5 linked regions of the Canis lupus familiaris genome follow. The protein of the gene in region 1 purifies or fractionates together with the protein of each later gene. This does not show direct contact. Links are inferred from orthologs where the notes say so. Each region holds a gene or a part of one and is shown on either strand. Other genes may lie near its edges. The genes, in order: KPNA6, HDAC1, CHD8, RNMT and KPNB1.

What was found.
Region 2: the proteins of KPNA6 (region 1) and HDAC1 purify together in Homo sapiens (affinity purification with mass spectrometry; 3 studies listed by BioGRID and IntAct, with this or other methods). This does not show direct contact. The link is inferred for Canis lupus familiaris from reciprocal best matches to the Homo sapiens genes KPNA6 and HDAC1.
Region 3: the proteins of KPNA6 (region 1) and CHD8 purify together in Homo sapiens (affinity purification with mass spectrometry; 4 studies listed by BioGRID and IntAct, with this or other methods). This does not show direct contact. The link is inferred for Canis lupus familiaris from reciprocal best matches to the Homo sapiens genes KPNA6 and CHD8.
Region 4: the proteins of KPNA6 (region 1) and RNMT purify together in Homo sapiens (co-immunoprecipitation; 3 studies listed by BioGRID and IntAct, counting the BioPlex papers as one, with this or other methods). This does not show direct contact. The link is inferred for Canis lupus familiaris from reciprocal best matches to the Homo sapiens genes KPNA6 and RNMT.
Region 5: the proteins of KPNA6 (region 1) and KPNB1 purify together in Homo sapiens (affinity purification with mass spectrometry; 4 studies listed by BioGRID and IntAct, with this or other methods). This does not show direct contact. The link is inferred for Canis lupus familiaris from reciprocal best matches to the Homo sapiens genes KPNA6 and KPNB1.

Annotation. Positions count from the first base shown.
Region 1 is NC_049223.1:68,434,549-68,438,063, reverse strand, and holds part of KPNA6 (importin subunit alpha-7), read left to right. Parts: intron 1-458; coding exon 459-590; intron 591-1,817; coding exon 1,818-1,906; intron 1,907-3,397; coding exon 3,398-3,497; intron 3,498-3,515. UniProt on the Homo sapiens protein: Functions in nuclear protein import as an adapter protein for nuclear receptor KPNB1. Binds specifically and directly to substrates containing either a simple or bipartite NLS motif.
Region 2 is NC_049223.1:68,298,494-68,301,034, reverse strand, and holds the end of HDAC1 (histone deacetylase 1), read left to right. Parts: intron 1-12; coding exon 13-143; intron 144-422; coding exon 423-575; intron 576-1,089; coding exon 1,090-1,138; intron 1,139-1,412; coding exon 1,413-1,440; 3' UTR 1,441-2,027; downstream 2,028-2,541. UniProt on the Homo sapiens protein: Histone deacetylase that catalyzes the deacetylation of lysine residues on the N-terminal part of the core histones (H2A, H2B, H3 and H4).
Region 3 is NC_049236.1:18,615,710-18,619,859, forward strand, and holds the start of CHD8 (chromodomain-helicase-DNA-binding protein 8), read right to left. Parts: upstream 2,809-4,150; 5' UTR 2,689-2,808; intron 2,163-2,688; exon of another isoform or gene 1,931-2,162; coding exon of another isoform or gene 1,735-1,930; intron 1-1,734. UniProt on the Homo sapiens protein: ATP-dependent chromatin-remodeling factor, it slides nucleosomes along DNA; nucleosome sliding requires ATP. Acts as a transcription repressor by remodeling chromatin structure and recruiting histone H1 to target genes.
Region 4 is NC_049222.1:24,608,180-24,612,328, reverse strand, and holds the start of RNMT (mRNA cap guanine-N7 methyltransferase), read left to right. Parts: upstream 1-1,348; 5' UTR 1,349-1,433; intron 1,434-1,810; exon of another isoform or gene 1,811-1,997; intron 1,998-2,438; exon of another isoform or gene 2,439-2,642; intron 2,643-2,904; 5' UTR 2,905-2,943; intron 2,944-3,662; 5' UTR 3,663-3,704; coding exon 3,705-4,124; intron 4,125-4,149. UniProt on the Homo sapiens protein: Catalytic subunit of the mRNA-capping methyltransferase RNMT:RAMAC complex that methylates the N7 position of the added guanosine to the 5'-cap structure of mRNAs. Binds RNA containing 5'-terminal GpppC.
Region 5 is NC_049230.1:23,971,771-23,975,285, forward strand, and holds part of KPNB1 (importin subunit beta-1), read left to right. Parts: intron 1-251; coding exon 252-399; intron 400-716; coding exon 717-788; intron 789-1,997; coding exon 1,998-2,142; intron 2,143-3,343; coding exon 3,344-3,426; intron 3,427-3,515.

The sequences.
Region 1 (3,515 bases):
GGCAAAGGCAGGTGCTTAACCACTGAGCATCCCAGGCATCCCTTTTTTTAAAAATTTGTTTTTAAATAAAGATTTTTATTTGTAAGTAATCACTTAAGTGTAGTGATTACTCACAACCCCAAGATCAAGAATTGCATGCTCCACTGACTGAAACCAGCCAGGTGCCCCTGCTTTTTGCTATTTAAAAAGTAAGAGGAAGTAGTTCCTGTGTGGTGGCTCAGTCATTTGAGAATCCAACTCTGTCTCAACTCAGGTCTTGATCTCAGAGTCGTAAGTTCAAGCCCTGCATTAGGCTCCATGCTGGATATGGAGGCTACTTAAGATAAAAATAAGGGGGAAGAGGAAAAGGCTCATATTTTAGTTTTTTGGTCAGGGGCAAGAGGCTTACAGCTCTCAACCAGCTGCAGACATGGCCACTCTGGAATGATCTCTGAATAGCGGTCTGATCTCACTTGCAGTTTGAAGCTGCCTGGGCTCTAACGAACATTGCCTCTGGAACCTCTCAGCAGACGAAGATTGTCATTGAAGCAGGGGCAGTCCCCATTTTTATAGAGCTGCTTAACTCGGACTTTGAGGATGTACAGGAACAGGTAACGCCCAAATTTGGCTTAATTCCTGATGGTACCTATATTATAATTTTAAAAAGTTTGGTTTTTGTACCCAGTTCCTAAAAACTACTAAAAACCTTGGAATTTTCTGAGTGAAGAGTGTGTTTTTTATTATTTATGATGGAACACACCTAATGAGATGATTGAGTGGGGCCCCTAGGCAACCTCAACATGAGGAGAGTAGTTATCAGAACTCCCAGCTCTACCAATGCCTCTATCCCAGCCTCCTGCAGAGAAATTCTGGGTTGGTGAACACATTGGTGTGGTGCCCTAGAGAGGGGATGGAAGTTCCATACCGCCCTGACTGCTCACCCCATACCTTGCCCTATGCATCTCTTCCATTTAGCTCTTCTGAGCTGTATCCATTAGAGTAAGCTAGTAAATGTAAGCAGTTTTTCCCTGAGTTCTGTGAATCATTCTAGTGAATTACTGAACCTAAGAAGGGAATTATGGGAACTTTTGAATTTATAGCCAGTTGGTCAGAAGCATGGCAACACTTGGGAATTGCAACTGGTGTCTTTTTTTGTTTGTTTGTTTTTTGTTTTTTTTGCAACTGGTGTCTGAAGTGGAGACAGTCTCATGGGCCTGAGCCCTTAACCTGTAGGGTCTGCACTAAGTCTAAGAGTGTCACAATTGAGTTGGATTGTTGGACATACAAATGGTGTTGGAGAATTGATTGCTGGTGTAGAAAAAAACTCCACATATTTGGCATCAGAGGTGGTATTGGGGGGAAAAAAACAAAAACATCACAGTACCCATTTATCAGTACCTAGATATCACAGTGATTAAGACAACTTAATTTCTTCCAGTGGATTTTTACTGATTGGATAGAATGTAGAACGTGGCGCCTAGATTTTTTTTTTTTCCTCACTTACTACATATAGGATAGATCCTGTGAGGCTGCAGGAATGCAACTTCTCACTTTCTCTTTTTTCTGGGAAGTAGGCATAGGGAGGTCTTGGTTTGGCTTCTTTGGCTGCAGTACGGATGTCAGCCTGTCTTTCCCACTAAATCAGAAATTCTCCGAGGAAAGACCTTCATAGAGCAAGCTCAGTAAGGACGTCAGCAAAGAGAGGACCTGATCCTGTTCAGGATATCTCAGGCCTCGATATGGTTTTTGTCTAAGTTATTGGTGTGTCCTCACTCTTGTATAAAATATGGACAGAAGCCATTTGTCTCTGCATGACAGTTCCATCATCCCCTTTTCAGGCAGTCTGGGCACTGGGAAACATAGCTGGAGACAGCTCCGTTTGCCGAGATTACGTCTTGAACTGTTCCATCCTTAATCCTTTGTTAACGTGAGTAATTATGATCATCTATACCTGGGACATCATCTATAAGGCAGCCATGTGGTAGATCCTTTGGGGGCAGCTTACCTTAAGATGTTAAGTAAATGCAAAAAAACACTAAAAGTATTTCTTTTTGAGAGTAAGAAGATTGTGCCACTGGTCTGTGCCAAGGAGGAGCTTCTGTTTCCTTTCTTCATTGCACAGTAGATTCTCATGTTGGTCATACTTACTTGCCTCATTGTTGAGCCAGGAGAGAGAGGCAAGACTAACCCATATAGAAAAATGCAACTTTCTCTACAGATGCATTAATTTGTTATTTTATGCCTAGGTACATTGGAGAGCTCTGTTGTAAACCACAGATTAAAGACACCATGAAAGGACATAGGGGGATCCCTGGGTGGCGCAGCGGTTTAGCGCCTGCCTTTGGCCCAGGGCACGGTCCTGGAGACCCGGGATCGAATCCCACATCGGGCTCCTGGTGCATGGAGCCTGCTTCTCCCTCTGCCTATGTCTCTGCCTCTCTCTCTCTGTGACTATCATTAAAAAAAAAAAAAAAAAAGACATAGGGATCCTTCTCCAATCCCTCCCTCCCATACCCTTCAAATAGAGTATCTAAACAATAGATGGGATAAGCTGTTCTTTTTTTTTTTTTTTAAGATTTATTTATTTATTCATTAAGAGAGAGCGAGAGAGAGGCAGAGACACAGGCAGAGGGAGTAGCAGGCTCCATGCAGGAAGCCCGATGTGGGACTCGATCCAGGGTCTCCAGGATCATACTCCGGGCTGCAGGGGGCGCTAAACCGCTGCGCCACCAGGGCTGCCCAGGGATGAGCTGTTCTTCAGAGACTACCACTATAACTCTTTCTTGGGCCTTTCACAGAAAGTCATTGCTTACTGCATGGCTAAAGCCCTTATACTAGATATTCAGCATTGATTTCCAAAGAGAACAGTATACTCGTCGTTTAAAACTTGTGGCCATTTAGGGGGATCCCTGGGTGGCGCAGCGGTTTGGCGCCTGCCTTTGGCCCAGGGCACGATCCTGGAGACCCGGGATCGAATCCCACGTCGGGCTTCCGGTGCATGGAGCCTGCTTCTCCCTCTGTCTGTGTCTCTGCCTCTCTCTCTTTCTCTCTCTGTGACTATCATAAATAAATAAACATTAAAAAAAAAAAAAAAAAAAAAAAAAACTTGTGGCCATTTAGGAGCACAATATGCCCTATCTTAAAAAGGTTTGCAGTCTTACTCAACTTCCAGCTTGCTCTTTGTCCTTACAAGCTATGGTCCTAACTAGCCACAGCTGGTTCTAATCCTCTGTGAAGGTGTAGATTGGCCTCTTGGCCCAAACAAGCTTAGTTTACTTAGGTCTGTGGGTAGAAGAACACAGTGAGGCTGCCAGAGTCTTAGGGGTCTTACTGGATTTGCTCCTGGGGTTCATAGGTGACAGCCCCATGCCAAGGTCATCATTGCTCAGGATCTGTCTGGCTTTGCTGTTTCCTTCAGACTCCTTACTAAGTCCACAAGACTGACAATGACACGGAATGCAGTCTGGGCTCTATCAAACCTCTGCAGAGGAAAGAACCCACCCCCAGAGTTTGCAAAGGTGAGAGAGTTTCTTAAC
Region 2 (2,541 bases), about 140 kb from region 1:
CATTGGCCATAGACAGCGACTGTTTGAGAACCTGAGAATGCTGCCCCACGCACCTGGGGTCCAAATGCAGGTGATTCCTGAGGATGCCATTCCAGAGGAGAGTGGCGACGAGGACGAAGAAGACCCTGACAAGCGCATCTCTAGTAAGACCCAGATCCGGGGGCGGTACCTTCCCGTTCAGTAGGTAGCTCTGGCTTCCCACCCCTGTTCTTGGTTCCATGTTCCTCCTAAGCTACTCATCTGTTGAGAAACCCATGTTCTAGTTCTTGGGACAATTTAGGGAGTCTGAGTTTCCTTCCCCTCTTCTTAGTCACCCCCTTCCCTTGGTGTCTCTTGGAGGACACACAGGGAAGCACTGGGCACAGACCTTGAGGTAAAGCTGATCTCCTGCTGTCTCACTTACATTTCCCATTGCCTCCCAGTCTGTTCATCTGACAAACGAATTGCCTGTGAGGAAGAGTTCTCGGACTCTGATGAGGAGGGAGAAGGTGGTCGTAAGAACTCTTCCAACTTCAAAAAAGCCAAGAGAGTCAAAACTGAGGACGAAAAAGAGAAAGACCCAGAAGAGAAGAAAGGTGGGTTTGGGTCATGCCCAGACTTGGGTCTTGAGCCCCAGGCCCCAGAGGAGGATGAATGTATGTAGGGCTCTAGGAGGGAGCTGACTCAGGCCCTGCCTTCTGTTGGGGTTCTGCCTCCACCCCCAGAAACAGCAGGACCCACAAAAGAATGAAATTCAATTTGTTATCTGCACTGGCCGGTTGAGCCCTGCCAGGCTCCAGAGCCAGGGACATGCCTAGTCTCCCCATGGTCAGGAGTGTGGCTCTCACACACCACCCAAGCCCCTTTCCCAGTGCTTCACCCCAGGTTCCCAGGGGGCTGCCCCCGCCCACCGGGTTCAGGCACTAGCAGGCTGGGAAACCGGTCCAACCTGTTTGTTCTCTGCAGGGCTCAAGGGGGAGGGCCTGGGATGGGCTTTTCTCTTTTGTATGTCCAGTGAGCTGTGTTGGGGAAGGGGGTTCAGCCTAAGTGAAGATTCCATGGGTCTTTCTGGAGGGGAGCCTTGGCCATCCCTGCACTCTTATGTTCTAGAAGTCACAGAAGAGGAGAAAACCAAGGAGGAGAAGCAAGAAGCCAAAGGGTGAGGAAGGAGCTGTCGGCCATCTCCCTGGCATTGGAGCACCAGCCCCTTTGTCCGCCCTGCCGAGGGAGGCGCAGGGACAGCTGGTGCAGCTTACAAAGACCTCTTTCAGGGACCAGTCTGTCTGTCTCTGCAGTTCTAGGCAGAGCTAGGAAGCCCCAGCCCTCGGCAGTCACCTGGGCAGCTGGGGTCCTATAGAAGTCATTGTCCCCGTATTTTTGCCTCCAGGCCTCTGGGGCACGTTATCTCATGCCAGTCTCTGCTCTCTCCACAGGGTCAAGGAGGAGGTCAAGTTGGCCTGAGCAGACCTCTCCAGTTCTGGTTTCCTGCCAAGTTCCCCACCTTTCTCCCACAACCCCTCAGATTTTATATTTTCTATTTCTCTGTGTATTTATATAAAAATATATTAAATATAAATATCCCCAGGGACTAGACAGGAACCAGGGCCCTGAGCCTAGGGCACACATTATGAGTGAGCTTTTCTAGTGGCTGCCTCGCCACCCATCCTTCCCCAGTTCTTAATTTTGAACCATAAAGGGTACCGGTTCTGGAAGGCATGCTTTTAAGCAGCCATAGGACAAAATCCAGAAATGCCAAGTGCCTGCTTCGTAGCTTTGGAAAGGTGCCCTCATTGAGCATTCTAGGAGTGGCTGGGTCTTCTGGGACCCTCCCATCAGGCTCCTTAAGGTAACATCAGCCATTTTTAGATTGGTTCTCTTATCATACCTTCCCACTGGCCCCATGTGAGCCAAGGAACTCACTGCCTGCCCTCTATCCTTGCCCAGTTCTGCAGGTGGAGATTGATAAGTCAGGTATCCTTTTTTGAGATACTATTTTCATTTTCATGAGAATCTTTGTAATAAAATGGTACATTTCTACATCCTCCTGAGCTTGTCTCCTAGCAGTATCCCTGGGTTGATTTCAACTCCACTTCCCTGCCCTTCTCGTGTCCAGGAGAATCTGGGCAACTCCATGAACAAGGAAACAACCCCACAAACTTAACCTTCACCCTAATCCCTCCCACAAGGGTTGAGGTTAACCGATCTTCTCACCCTACCCCCAGAAGACCACTCATTAAAAAGCACTACTAAAGGGACGACATTTATTCCTTTTCCAAATGTTACAGTAAAACCAGGTGGAAGAGAATGGTTTTAGCAGTTAGAAAAAAAAAAAAAAGTACAAATCTGGGGTTTGGCCATTAAAAGTTATTTACAACAATGGGAGGGGGAAAAAAAAAGACAACAAGAAGTTGTTTCACATTACAGACCTCCCCCCCACCCCAAAGCCTAATACTTGCTTACCAAGTCAAAAAAGAGACACAGTCGATTCACAAGCTGGAGGTTTGAACTTGAGTAAGACATTTATAAAAACCTAGACAGGGGCAGTGTCCTCCCCAGCCCAGG
Region 3 (4,150 bases), on another chromosome or scaffold:
AAAATCTTAAAAAAAAAAAAAAAAAAAAGCCTCAACAGGGGATCCCTGGGTGGCGCAGTGGTTTAGCACCTGCCTTTGGCCCGGGGCGTGATCCTGGAGACCCGGAATCAAATCCCACGTCGGGCTCCCGGTGCATGGAGCCTGCTTCTCCCTCTGCCTGTGTTTCTGCCTCTCTCTCTCTCTGTGACTATCATAAATAAATAAAAAATTAAAAAAAAAAAAAAAAAGCCTCAACAGGGATGCCTGGGTGGCTCAGCAGGTTGAGCATCTGCCTTTGGCTCAGGGGGTGATCCTGGACTCCCCAGATCAAGTCCCACTTTGGGCTCCCTGCACGGAGGCTGCTTCTCCCTCTGCCTGTATCTCTGCCTCATTCTCTGTGTCTCTCATGAGTAAATAAATAAAATCTTAAAAAAAAAGAAAAGAAAAAAAGAAGAAGCTTCAGTTAGAAGCAAAAAAAAGCCCCAATAGTAGTGAATTAAAAACAAAAAGTAAAGGGCACAAAATTGTAACAGGAGGATGAAAGGAAGACCACCAACTTTGTGAGGAAAAAGAATAAAAAATTAATTGAAAAAAATATATATAAAGTTAAGCCAAGAAAAATGAGAAATGATGCTATATTATTGAATCGACTGCTAATGGTAAAACAGTAAATACTAGGTCCGTCACAGTCGTGCAAGGCAGGTCATGCAAAGACCTGCAGATCCGGGACTTGCCCAAATGCAGGTTCAGAAGTGGCGTGACCCTTAGGGTTAAGGATGCGGGGCCAGAAAATATCTGAGTTGTTTATCCTCCAGGTATCAGGTCAATGCAGGCTCAGAAGACAGCTGGACTCTTGCAGGGCGGTGGACAAACAGTATCTTGGAAGCATTAACGATCATCTCTGTGTTCTACAAACGTTACGGTCCTTCCACAGATGATAATATCAAATCTCATTCTTTCAGTAAACAAGTGTAGTTCTCCGCACCCACACAGTAATCTTAAGTGGTAGTTTAGCTTAAAACAAAACAAAACAAAACAAAAAAAACTCCCCCTCGTCAAAAGAGATGGGTACAACAGTCTCTTTTAAAGACTGACTCGCCTCACCATCCTACCTTGACTACGGGGCAACTATCCTACCTGTCAGACCCCTCATATTAAGTGTCAAAGCTCTTTCCTCTTCTAACCAAACCCCTGCAATGGTGGTGACCACAAAGCCGAGATTTCCCCACCCAGTCATCTGCTGGCGCTGCAGAGGCTATCCCAGAAAATACATCTACGTTTCCTGGCGATTCACAGCAACTCAAATTGCTTTCCATTTCTAGCCTTTTCTATCCACGTCTAAATAAGTGGATTCTGTCAATTTGGGAACGGACAAAATCAAAAGGCCAGATGCACAGGTCGGACCACACCTGCGGGAGGTGTGAGTTGTGCAAGTACCCACATGCTATTCCATCGAATCCCTGCTCCGGTGTTACACCTTCCCCGGGGCCTGATGCACCGCACACGCCTACCCTCTCTTTGGCCCGCGGCCTTCCTCATGCCTTGCCCCTCTTGGTCTCCTTATACAGAATAATGTTTTCTTTAGGAACCCGTTTTAAAGGAGGTGGGATGAGTCCAAAACACCACGATTTTCTTGGAAGCCTGTTTGGTGAGCCCTACCAACGAAATTCCCGGGCAGAAGACGGTAGCTCATTAACTGACAGAGCCCTCCGGCGTCTCGAGGGTCCCGAACCGGACAGGCCAGGGAATCCCTACCTGAGCTGACAGGCCCGGAGCAACAGAGGAGAGCGATCGTGTGTGGATGCCGGTTGTGAGGGGAGGATGCAGGAGAGCCTGGCCGCGCTGGGGTCTGGAGCCCTGCGCCAGGACGCCTCATGGAGCTCCAGGTCTCCGACTCCCAGCTCCCTACGCTCAGTCGCTGGGAGAAACGGCCGACCCGCTGGACATGCATGCACCTGCCTTGCACTCCTCGGAAGACCTTCCTCCCTTCGCGACCGCCGCTTAAAGGCAAGAGCTGCTGCTGCTGCTGCTGCTGCTGCTGAGGCTGCAATGGCTGGAAAATTCTCTGTGACACTAGACACAGGTAAACGAAGGGCCGGCATCCGCTCCGAGGCAGGGGGAGGGGTCTCCGGCCCGGGAAGAGTTTACATAACGCCAGGCCGGGCCCCGCGGGCTCTGCGGACCTGTCAACGGAGACGCGAGGCCTGAGCGGCCCTGTCGCCGCCGCCTCTCCACACGCACCCCCGCGGTGCTCGCACCCGGTAACCGGCAACGAAGGCGCCGGCCCGCCCCGAGCTTTCCGACCCACCTCCATCGTCGGAACAAAACCAACAAACAAGAGAGAGAGAGAAAAAAAAAAAAGAAAAAGAAAGAAACGAAAAAAAAAAAAAAAGCCACCACAACCACCCTGACCTCCCACTTCTGGGTCCAAAGCGCGGTGACCCGGGAGCCGGGGGGTCTCGTCGCCGCCGCCAGCGCGCACCACGCCCGGGACGCGCTGACAGGCCCCGGCGCCCCCCGGCCCCTCACAAAGAGAAGGGGGCGGCCCGGAGCAGCCCCCTGCGCCTGACCCCTCACGCCCCGGCGGCGCGGGGAGCGGGGAGCGCGGCGCGGGCGGGCCGGGGGCTCCCAGGGGCCCGCCCCGGGCGCCGCGGCCGCGCAGGGGCCCCCGGCGCAGCGCTGACGAGCCGGCGCGAGCAGGAGCCCTACCTGAGCCAGTCCTGCAGCGTCCCTGCCAGCCAGCGCTTCCCCTCACCGCGTCGGAGAACAAGGCGCCTTCCGGCGGAGCATGGCCAGCCCTCGCCTCAACCTAGCTTGCTGGCAGTCCGTACGCCGCAGGCCTCGCCCACCTCCGGGCCGCCTGCCAATGGCAGGGCCGGCCCCGCCCCCCAGCAAGGTAGTGTGAGCGCCATCCCGGAAGTCCCCGGAGGCGGGGAGGTCCTGCAGGGCCTAGAGGGGTACGTAGGCAACCACGGATGTGCCTGAGTGGAAATAAGATCTGGCGGCCGCGGGCCCTGCTGCTCGGCTCGCGGGCGTGCGGGCCCCCGCCAGCTGCGCCCCCGCCCGCCACCGCTGGGGGCGCTGCGGGCCGCGCGGCCTGGCCCCGAGCGGGGGCGGCCATCTTGGGTCGGGCCGCGGGGACGCGGAAGCCGGGGCGGGCCGAGCCGACGTGCTTTGTGCGGTCCGGCCGGGCGGTCGGGAGCGGGGCCCGGTGCGGTCGGCGGCGGCCCCCCCACCGTGGGAGGGAGGAGACCCACGCGTCACGGCAGCACTAAAAACAGTATTTATTTATTTATTTATTTTGGAATGCGAACGGGTTCCCGCGCAGCCACAGGGTGACCCTCCGTGCCCCCGCCGCCCCGGGGCCCGCTGGGGGCACTTCCGGCCCGCGGAGCCCCAGGTCACGTGGGGGATGGCGCGGGCGGGGCCGCGGTCGAGGCAGCGCGCCCCGCGGCCCGGGAGCCCCGGCCACCAGCTTGGGTGGAGGGAGCACCGACCGTGTCTAGTTTGCGTCTTCGGCCCGAACGAGGCCCGCCGCAGGAAGCCGCGGTGGGCGATAGGGGAGGGGACGGCCTGCCCAGGAGGCCTCCGCCCGCGGAGACCTGTAAGTACCGGGCTGCACGGCTCGCCCCGAGCGGGACCCCAGCGGCCCCACCTCCTCCTTTTCCAAGTTTTCCCAAGGTGGGGCCTGAACTCAGGACCCCGAGATCAACAGTCCGTTTCCCGGGACCCCGGGGTCCCGAGATCGAGTCCCGCGTCGGGCCCCCTGCGTGGAGCCTGCTTCTCCTTCCGCCTTTGTCTCTGCCTTTCTCTGTGTGTCTCTCATGAACAAATAAATAAATAAAATATATTCTTAAAAAAAGAGTACCTTTCTCTATCACCTGAGCCGGACGTGTGCCCCGGTGCTGGCCTTTGACAGCCAAGCATGCCCTCATCAGACCTCCCCTTCTTCACACGGGCTGGGGAATCTACTTCCTATCATGTTTCATGACCATGACCGTGTCTCTGATCACCAGCAACGATCAATAGAGGTCATGAATTTGCCCAAGTAACTTTCCTCATGCTTCCCTTACATGGATGAAATACCCAAGTATAGAAGGTTAGGAGTGTTCTGGGGTTCTTTTAAGTTTAAATTTTTTTTTTTTTTTTTAAGTAATCTCGGCACCCAACA
Region 4 (4,149 bases), on another chromosome or scaffold:
GGGAGACCTGGGAAATCTAGGAGATCCCGGCAGATCTGAGAGATCTAGGAGACCAGGAGATCTGGGAGACCTGAGAGATCTGGAGATCTGGGAGACCTGAGAGACCTAGGAGATCTGGGCGACCTGGGAGATCTAGGAGACCTGGGAGACCTCCGTGACCTGGGAGATCTAGGAGACCTGGGAGATCCAAGAGATCTGGGAGACCTGGGAGACCCCAGGAGACCTGAGATCTAGGAGATCTGGGAGATCTGGGAGACCCGGGAGATCTAGGAGACCTGGGAGACCCCGGGAGATCTGAGAGATCTAGGAGACCTAGGAGATCTGGGAGACCTGAGAGACCTGGGAGATCTGGGCGACCTGGGAGATCTAGGAGACCTGGGAGATCTAGGAGATCTGGGAGATCTGGGAGACCCGGGAGATCTAGGAGACCTGGGAGACCCCGGGAGATCTAGGAGATCAGGGAGATCCCGGGAGATCTGAGAGATCTAGGAGACCTAGGAGATCTGGGAGACCTGAGAGACCTGGGAGATCAGGGCGAACTGGGAGATCCAAGAGACTGGGAGATCCAAGAGATTTGGGAGACCCCGAGAGATCTAGGAGACCTGGGAGACCCCGGAGATCCGGGAGACCCGGGAGGCCTGCGGACGTGCGGAGTCAGGCGGTCCGTCCCGTCCCCGCGGGCCGTGCCCGGCATCCCCCGGCATCCCCCGGCATCCCCCGGCATCCCCGGAGGCCGCAGGGACGAGCCAGGGCCCGCCGCCTTCGAGGACGACTCCACGGCGCGGCTCCCCGGCCCCTCGGCAGCCGTGCTCCGACGGAGAGCAGAGCGGAGGGAGGCCCGGACCGGAGCCGGCTCCAGTCCCCCAGGCCCCGCTCGGTCAGACGAGGGCGGGGGCTGCGGGGCGCGCGTGGCGGACCCCGGCCGGGGAGGGGGGGCGGGGGCGGGGGCGGCGGGGGCGCGCCCCGCGGGCAGGTGCCTGACCCCTCCCGCAGCTGTCGGCGCTCCGGGGCCCAGGCTACCTCTCAGGAGGCTGACGCCCCGCCGGGTCCCGTCCTGCCGCACGGGCCGAAAGGCAGGTCTCCGAAGCCGCGGCGGAGTCACCGGGACAGTGACCCGGTCGAGCGCGGGTCAGGGCGCCGGAAGCCACGGGGCCACCCCTCGCCGGCCCTCCCCGGCCTCCGCGGCCGCCCGCCCTCCCGCCGCGCCCACCAACGGCGTGCGTGCGGCGGCCCATGCGGCACCGCGCGCCCTCGCCAGGCCCCGCGCGCGGCACCACGGGACTCGTAGTTCCGGCGCGAGGCTCGCGCGGCGCTCGCTCCACCGGCCGGCGACCGCGGCGTCCCGGCGCCGACCCCGCCCCGGAAGTGGCGTCACAGCACGCGCGCGGCGCGGCCGGCCGCTTCCGCAAACAGAGCCGTGGCCGCCTGCGTGGGTGAGTGAGTGCGGCGCCCGGCGCTACGGCCGCTCTTTGTTTCCAGCCGCCCCGCGGCCGCCGCGGCCCCGGGGCCCCTCACTCTCGCGACGGGCCTCGCACGCGGACGGGGCGGGCCGGGGCGGGCGGGGGGCGGCGGGGCCCGGGGGCGGCGGGCGGCGGGGGGGAGGGGCGGCGCAGGTGCAGCCCCGCGAGGCCGGGCCCGTGACCTCGGGGTGCTCCGGGCGGCCGTCCGCTCGGCCCAACGGGGTCGCCCTGGGCCGCGGGGCGTCGCGGAGCCCGGGCCGCTCGGGTCGCTGCGGCCGCGGCTCCCGGAGACGGCGCCTCCGCCTCGCGCGCTCCTCCGACCCCGCTCTCCCCGGCTGGTGGCGTCGCCCTCGCCGCCTGCGCCCGGGCCCGCAGCTGCGATCCCCGGGGCCCCCCGCTGCCCGCCGCTTCCCGCCCGGAGCCCCGTAACGTTCCGGTCATGAATTTGCTGAATCTCCCCAGGCTTCGGGCTCCGGGCTCCCCCTTCTACGTTTGGTTCCGATAACACAGCCTCACGCCTTAAAACTGCTGTCTAGGGTGAAGCTTTTTTTTTTTTTTTTTTCTTAAGATTTTATTCATTCATGAGAGAGGCAGAGACACAGGTAGATGGAGACCGAGAGGCAGAGGGACACGCAGAGACACAGAGACACAGGTAGACACAGAGAGGGACAGAGACAGAGAGACAGAGACACAGGCAGAGGGAGACACAGAGAGACAGAGACAGGCAGACGGAGACACAGAGACAGAGACACAGAGGGACACGCAGAGACAGGTAGACACAGGCAGAGGGAGACACAGAGACACAGACGGAGACAGAGAGGCAGAGATACAGGCAGAGGGAGACACAGACAGGCAGAGACAGGCAGACGGAGACTCAGAGACACAGAGGGAGACACAGAGACACAGGTCAACGGAGACAGAGAGGCAGAGACACAGGCAGAGGGAGACACAGACACAGAGAGAGGCAGAGACACAGAAAGAGGGAGAGACCCAGGCAGAGGGACACACAGGCTCCCTGCAGGGAGCTCAATGCCGGCCTCCATCCTGGGACCTGGGGTCATGCTGTGGGCCGCAGGCACCGAGCCCTCGAGACCCCATGGCTGTGAGCCTCATGGACACGAATCACCCAGTGCCCTGAGGTCCTCTGTAGTAGGAAGGACAGTGGGATCATGGAACAACCTAGTAAGTCCCTGCCCCATAGCTCTTACTCCTCCATCCCTTCCATTTTACACACAGGCCCATGAGCATTTGAAGGAGACTCAATAGTAAGTTGCAGACCAGGTTTCCAGACCTCTTGTCCAAAGCTATCTCTACTCTCTTCACTTTCTAATTCAGGCTCCCACTATGAAGTAAGCATTTCAGAAGTCAACCGTCGGTTCCCAGGCTTATCCTGTTCCTGGTACCTTTAGTGTTTATGATTTCTTTCTTTTTTTTTTTATTTCAGTGTCACTAGGCCAGAAGAAACACCCCGCAGTTCCACTTAGTAAGTAGTTCAGTCTAAAGAATTTAGTATTTATGTTTTAACGACCTTGTCTAAAAACTAATACACAAATTGAAAGGAAAAAATAGTATTTGTGTCTAATTCTTAGTTAGCCCTAAGTGCTTCCTGGTGGAACGTGTACCCCTGTTGGGTACTGTCCAGTTTCTCAAGCTGTGAGATCAGATTTGACGTTGCCAACTTCGTTTGCAGTTTCACATTGATTTCATGTGGAATCCCCCAAAATACCAGCTTCGCACAAGTGCTACTGTCATTGAAAGGAATGCAGTGCTCTCTACTCCGTGGAAACTGCTCTATGTGAAGCTGTGTTGCTTAGACTTTTAGAATACCCTGCTGTACCTGTACAAGTTTGTCACAGCGTCCAGCTCACAGTTTGAGAACTCAGGCTATAAAGTAAGAATCCAAACAGAAATGGAACAAATGCTTGTGTAAGACCTACTTCATCTGTCCGTTTCAATGCCAGTAATGACTTAGGGGTAAGATCATACGTATGTTTAGGGATTATAATTAGTATTTCCATATTAAAATATTCAGAGGTTCATATGTGACATATATCAGTTAATGATTTCAGTATTCTCTCTGTAATGAGATTTATTTAAACTCCTAGCTGATTACTGAATTAAATGGCTAGCTTCTGGTTAAAATTGTTTTAAACTTTCGGCATTAGTGTTTGTATGAGTAAAATCAAATTTTTGCCATTCCAGTCTTAGTTCATGAAGTTTTGCCACCTACTTAAGTAATCAAAAATGGAAAATTCTGCAAAAGCAGAAGAGTGTGAAAAGCTCTCTCTCGAAGAGGCAAAAGCATCAAAAGATTTGGAAACAAAGTCTTCATTCAGTATTAATGAAAACACAACCACTCCTGGGACTGGACTTTCTGAAAAGGCTCCTGTCTGGGAACAAGCAGACGCACCGAAAAAGAGAAAAATGGAATTTGAAGATGATCTTATAAAGGAAAGTTCTAGTTGTGGGGAAGATACTCCAACCAAGAAAAGAAAACTTGATGCTGAAATTGTCCCAGAGGAAAAAGGTTCTGGTGATGATGAGGGCATTTCAAGGAAAAGAAGAATGGAAACTGATGATTTTCCAAAAGATGAATCTTCTACTGGAGATGGCACACAGAAGAAGAGAAAAATAGAACTTGAGGATGTTCCTGAAAAGCAAAAAGTATGTTGAATGTATTTATTTTTTA
Region 5 (3,515 bases), on another chromosome or scaffold:
CATAATTTTAGTCCCATTTCCACAGAGCCATTCTAAAGTGTAACCGAGCCTGGAGATCCATAGTAAATAGAGCCATTGGCTCAGTAGTTGAAAATTTGGTTCCTGGTTGTATTGTGTTGCCAAACTCCAACCATATTTACAACCGTATTGGTTTCTGGATTCCTTATTTTCTGTGAGACAAGATTTACATCATAACAACTCTATTCTTTTTCAGGTAAGACTTTTAGATTGTTGTTGTGTGTTCTTTACAGACCTGATGGACACCAGAACAACCTGAGGAGTTCTGCATATGAATCTCTGATGGAAATTGTGAAAAACAGTGCCAAGGATTGTTATCCCGCGGTTCAGAAAACTACTCTGGTTATCATGGAGCGACTGCAGCAGGTGCTTCAGATGGAGGTGAGGCTGGTGTGAGGCTGGTATGGCGGGGGCATATGCTCTCTTGGTGGTATTGACGTTTACGTGGAAGTATGTATTTTTTCAGAAAGATAGAAGGCTTATACAAAATAATACCACTAAAAATCTGCTTTGCTCATCCCAATTTACTCCTACACGCTTCACACCATACACATATGTAAGTTTTTTATTTCCGACAAGCATCAGTAAAGATTATTTGATGGTCCTGGCAAACCCAGCAAAAACAGAAGCACTAAAGGAGTTTAGAACTCTTTTAGAGGGTGTTTATTCAGAATATGACAATGTTCTTTTCCTTGTAGTCCCACATCCAGAGCACATCCGACAGGATCCAATTCAATGACCTTCAGTCTTTGCTCTGTGCCACTCTTCAGGTATGACGGTGCTTTATCACTTACTGATGCTGATCAGAAACTCTTCTCAAAAGGTCTTCATCTGTGGTTGATTGGGAGAGAGATTTTTTATTTTCCTTTCTTCTTTGTCCATAAAGACAGACTTTGTCTTTTGCAGTAGGGAAGGCAACTACTTGGTTTGTGACAGTCCTCCCAGCTGTACAGCTATTTTGTGCTGGCAGCTTCTAGTCTTTGGTTTTTATTGGGTTGTCCAAATGTAGCCCAGTCAGATCTGATTTCCAGCTGCGGTTCACTCAGCTAAAAATATAGCCTTGAGTTTCTATCATCATATTCTGAAACAACAGTTCCTACTGGAAACTTTATTATAATTTAAATCCTTTATAGTACCTGTTGTTCAGAATAGACTTTTTTGAGGGGAGGCTGGAAAAACTAAAATCACTCCTCATTCATGACTGGACTCCTGGATGGAGTGACTGAGGTGCTGTTCCCCTTTTTACCAAAGATCAGGAAACCCTAGAACATGTCTATCGCTTAGGGGGATACTAGGTTTTAGTATTGAGTGATGCTAACTTGGTCATCTTCCCTGTACATCTCCTTTCTCTTTCTTACCCAAACGTAAAAAAAAAAAAAAAAAAAAAAAAAACAGTCTGTTTTTTTAATATCTTGACTGTTAAGATCTTTCCTTAGTCATCAAATACAGGAATGATCTGGTAACATTAGTTGAAACAAATTAAAGAGTAAGGAGGGAGGTGTGAGGAATATTGAATTAGGGGAATTCAGGTTGGCTTTACTTTACCAGAACTGTTTCTTGACCGTCATAAGTAAATAAGATACAGGAAGGATTGCTTTCTTGTTTTATGAGTAAGAACTATATAACCTGTCCTTCTTTAAAGCTGAAAGAAATTCAACTGCCTTTCCAAAAGACTACAATATGGAGACTGCTAATGGGTGTGTCAGACATAAATGAAATGGAGAAGAGATAGCTTTATGTACCATGGTAGATTATCTTGTCTTCATTCTGAATTGGGAAATAGAAGGGTATTAAAATGTATGTTTTGTTGCAGAAGATTTACACTGCGAAAGCTTTTGAGCACAAAAAGTGTGTTTGTTTGGCCCTTCCAAAAAAAAGTCACAGGGCTTAATTGATTTTTTAGAAAGGTATATATATATATAGCATTCTGATTGGAGGGTTTGGAATCAACAGATCCTGAACTCTTGTTCACTTCACAGAATGTTCTCCGGAAAGTACAACATCAAGATGCTTTGCAGATCTCTGATGTGGTCATGGCCTCCCTGTTGAGGATGTTCCAAAGCACAGCTGGGTCTGGGGGAGTGCAAGAGGATGCCCTAATGGCAGTTAGCACACTGGTGGAAGGTCAGTGAGCCAAAATTGGGCAGGGAATGTCTTTAGAATGTAAGAGTTTCCAGCAGCCATGGGGCACTTTTGATCACAGAAAGCATGGTCCCGTCTTCTCTTTTACTGAGGCATGACTTGAGGGCAAAATTGGATTGAATGTAAGTGTAAATTTATGCACAAGTGCCCTGCTGCTCTCCTTGAAATAAATGGAGAGCCAGCCGCAACTCAGATTGGCGAGTTTTTTGGGGAAAACAGTTATCATCTACCTCTTATTTGTTGGGTTCATTTTTCCTCTGAAAGTCTACTTGCTTTATTGAGATTTGGCTCCTTTCCAAGGATAGAGGAAACAAAGGTTTCTATTTTCTTCTTGGCACTTGGTACCTCCTGGTTTGGGTTATAATACTTTGAACTTCCATGTTGACACATCCTCATGCTCCATATGGGATGGAGTGAAAAACTGAGAGTTCTAAGAATTAACTGGTCTTCTGGTTGTTCTATGTTTGACTCTACAAAATCGCATTGGGGAATCCATGTCTGCTTAAGATTCTTTGAAGGGCCATTAGAAGCACATTAAAGAGCTCTTAAGAAACCTGAGATGCTTCTTCAGGGTTGGCCTGGATGGTGTATGACCAAAGCTATTACCTGAGGACCAGACCTATTTCTAGCATTAGGAGCATATGTTCAACTGAGAGTTGATCTGGCCACATGTAACTACCCTGATAGGGCACAGAAGTTCACTTTGGCTCCTGGAGTGGCTAATTGAGCAAAAAGTCCAGTCTGCTTTCCCTGGCTAGCTTGTTAAATAAATCCTTGATGGAATTGCCCAAGGATGGACCCTGTTTTAAAGCTGGCCGCCAGAGAAGACATGTTGCGTAAACAGATGAAGGAGGTAGCCAAAGAGGCAGTGTTATTAGCTCATCCAATTCAAAATTAACCCTTGAGAAAAAAAAAACCCTTGGTTGGCTGGTTGGGTTTAGCCAAAGTGAAATCCCACTCTAGAGATTTGGCATTATCTTCAGGACATAAGAGTTAGGCCTTTCTAGCACTTAGGAATTTGACTTGTCTGAGATAACCTGTCTTCATGATAGAATCCACAGTTAACTTACACTTCACCTGCCCAACCTGTTGAGTGGAATAAATATGTTTTGAGAGAGCAGGCATGGTTACTTTTGCTTACTTCTGTGATACCCTGTGATGCTAATAGTTTGTTTCTTTACAGTGTTGGGTGGTGAATTCCTAAAGTACATGGAGGCCTTTAAACCCTTCCTGGGCATTGGATTGAAAAATTATGCTGAGTACCAGGTAATCTATGCTTTTTAAAAGGATATTTATATTCTTTATATTCTTATTTATTCCTGATAACTACCTCATGGTTCAAAGTCCAGGTAGTC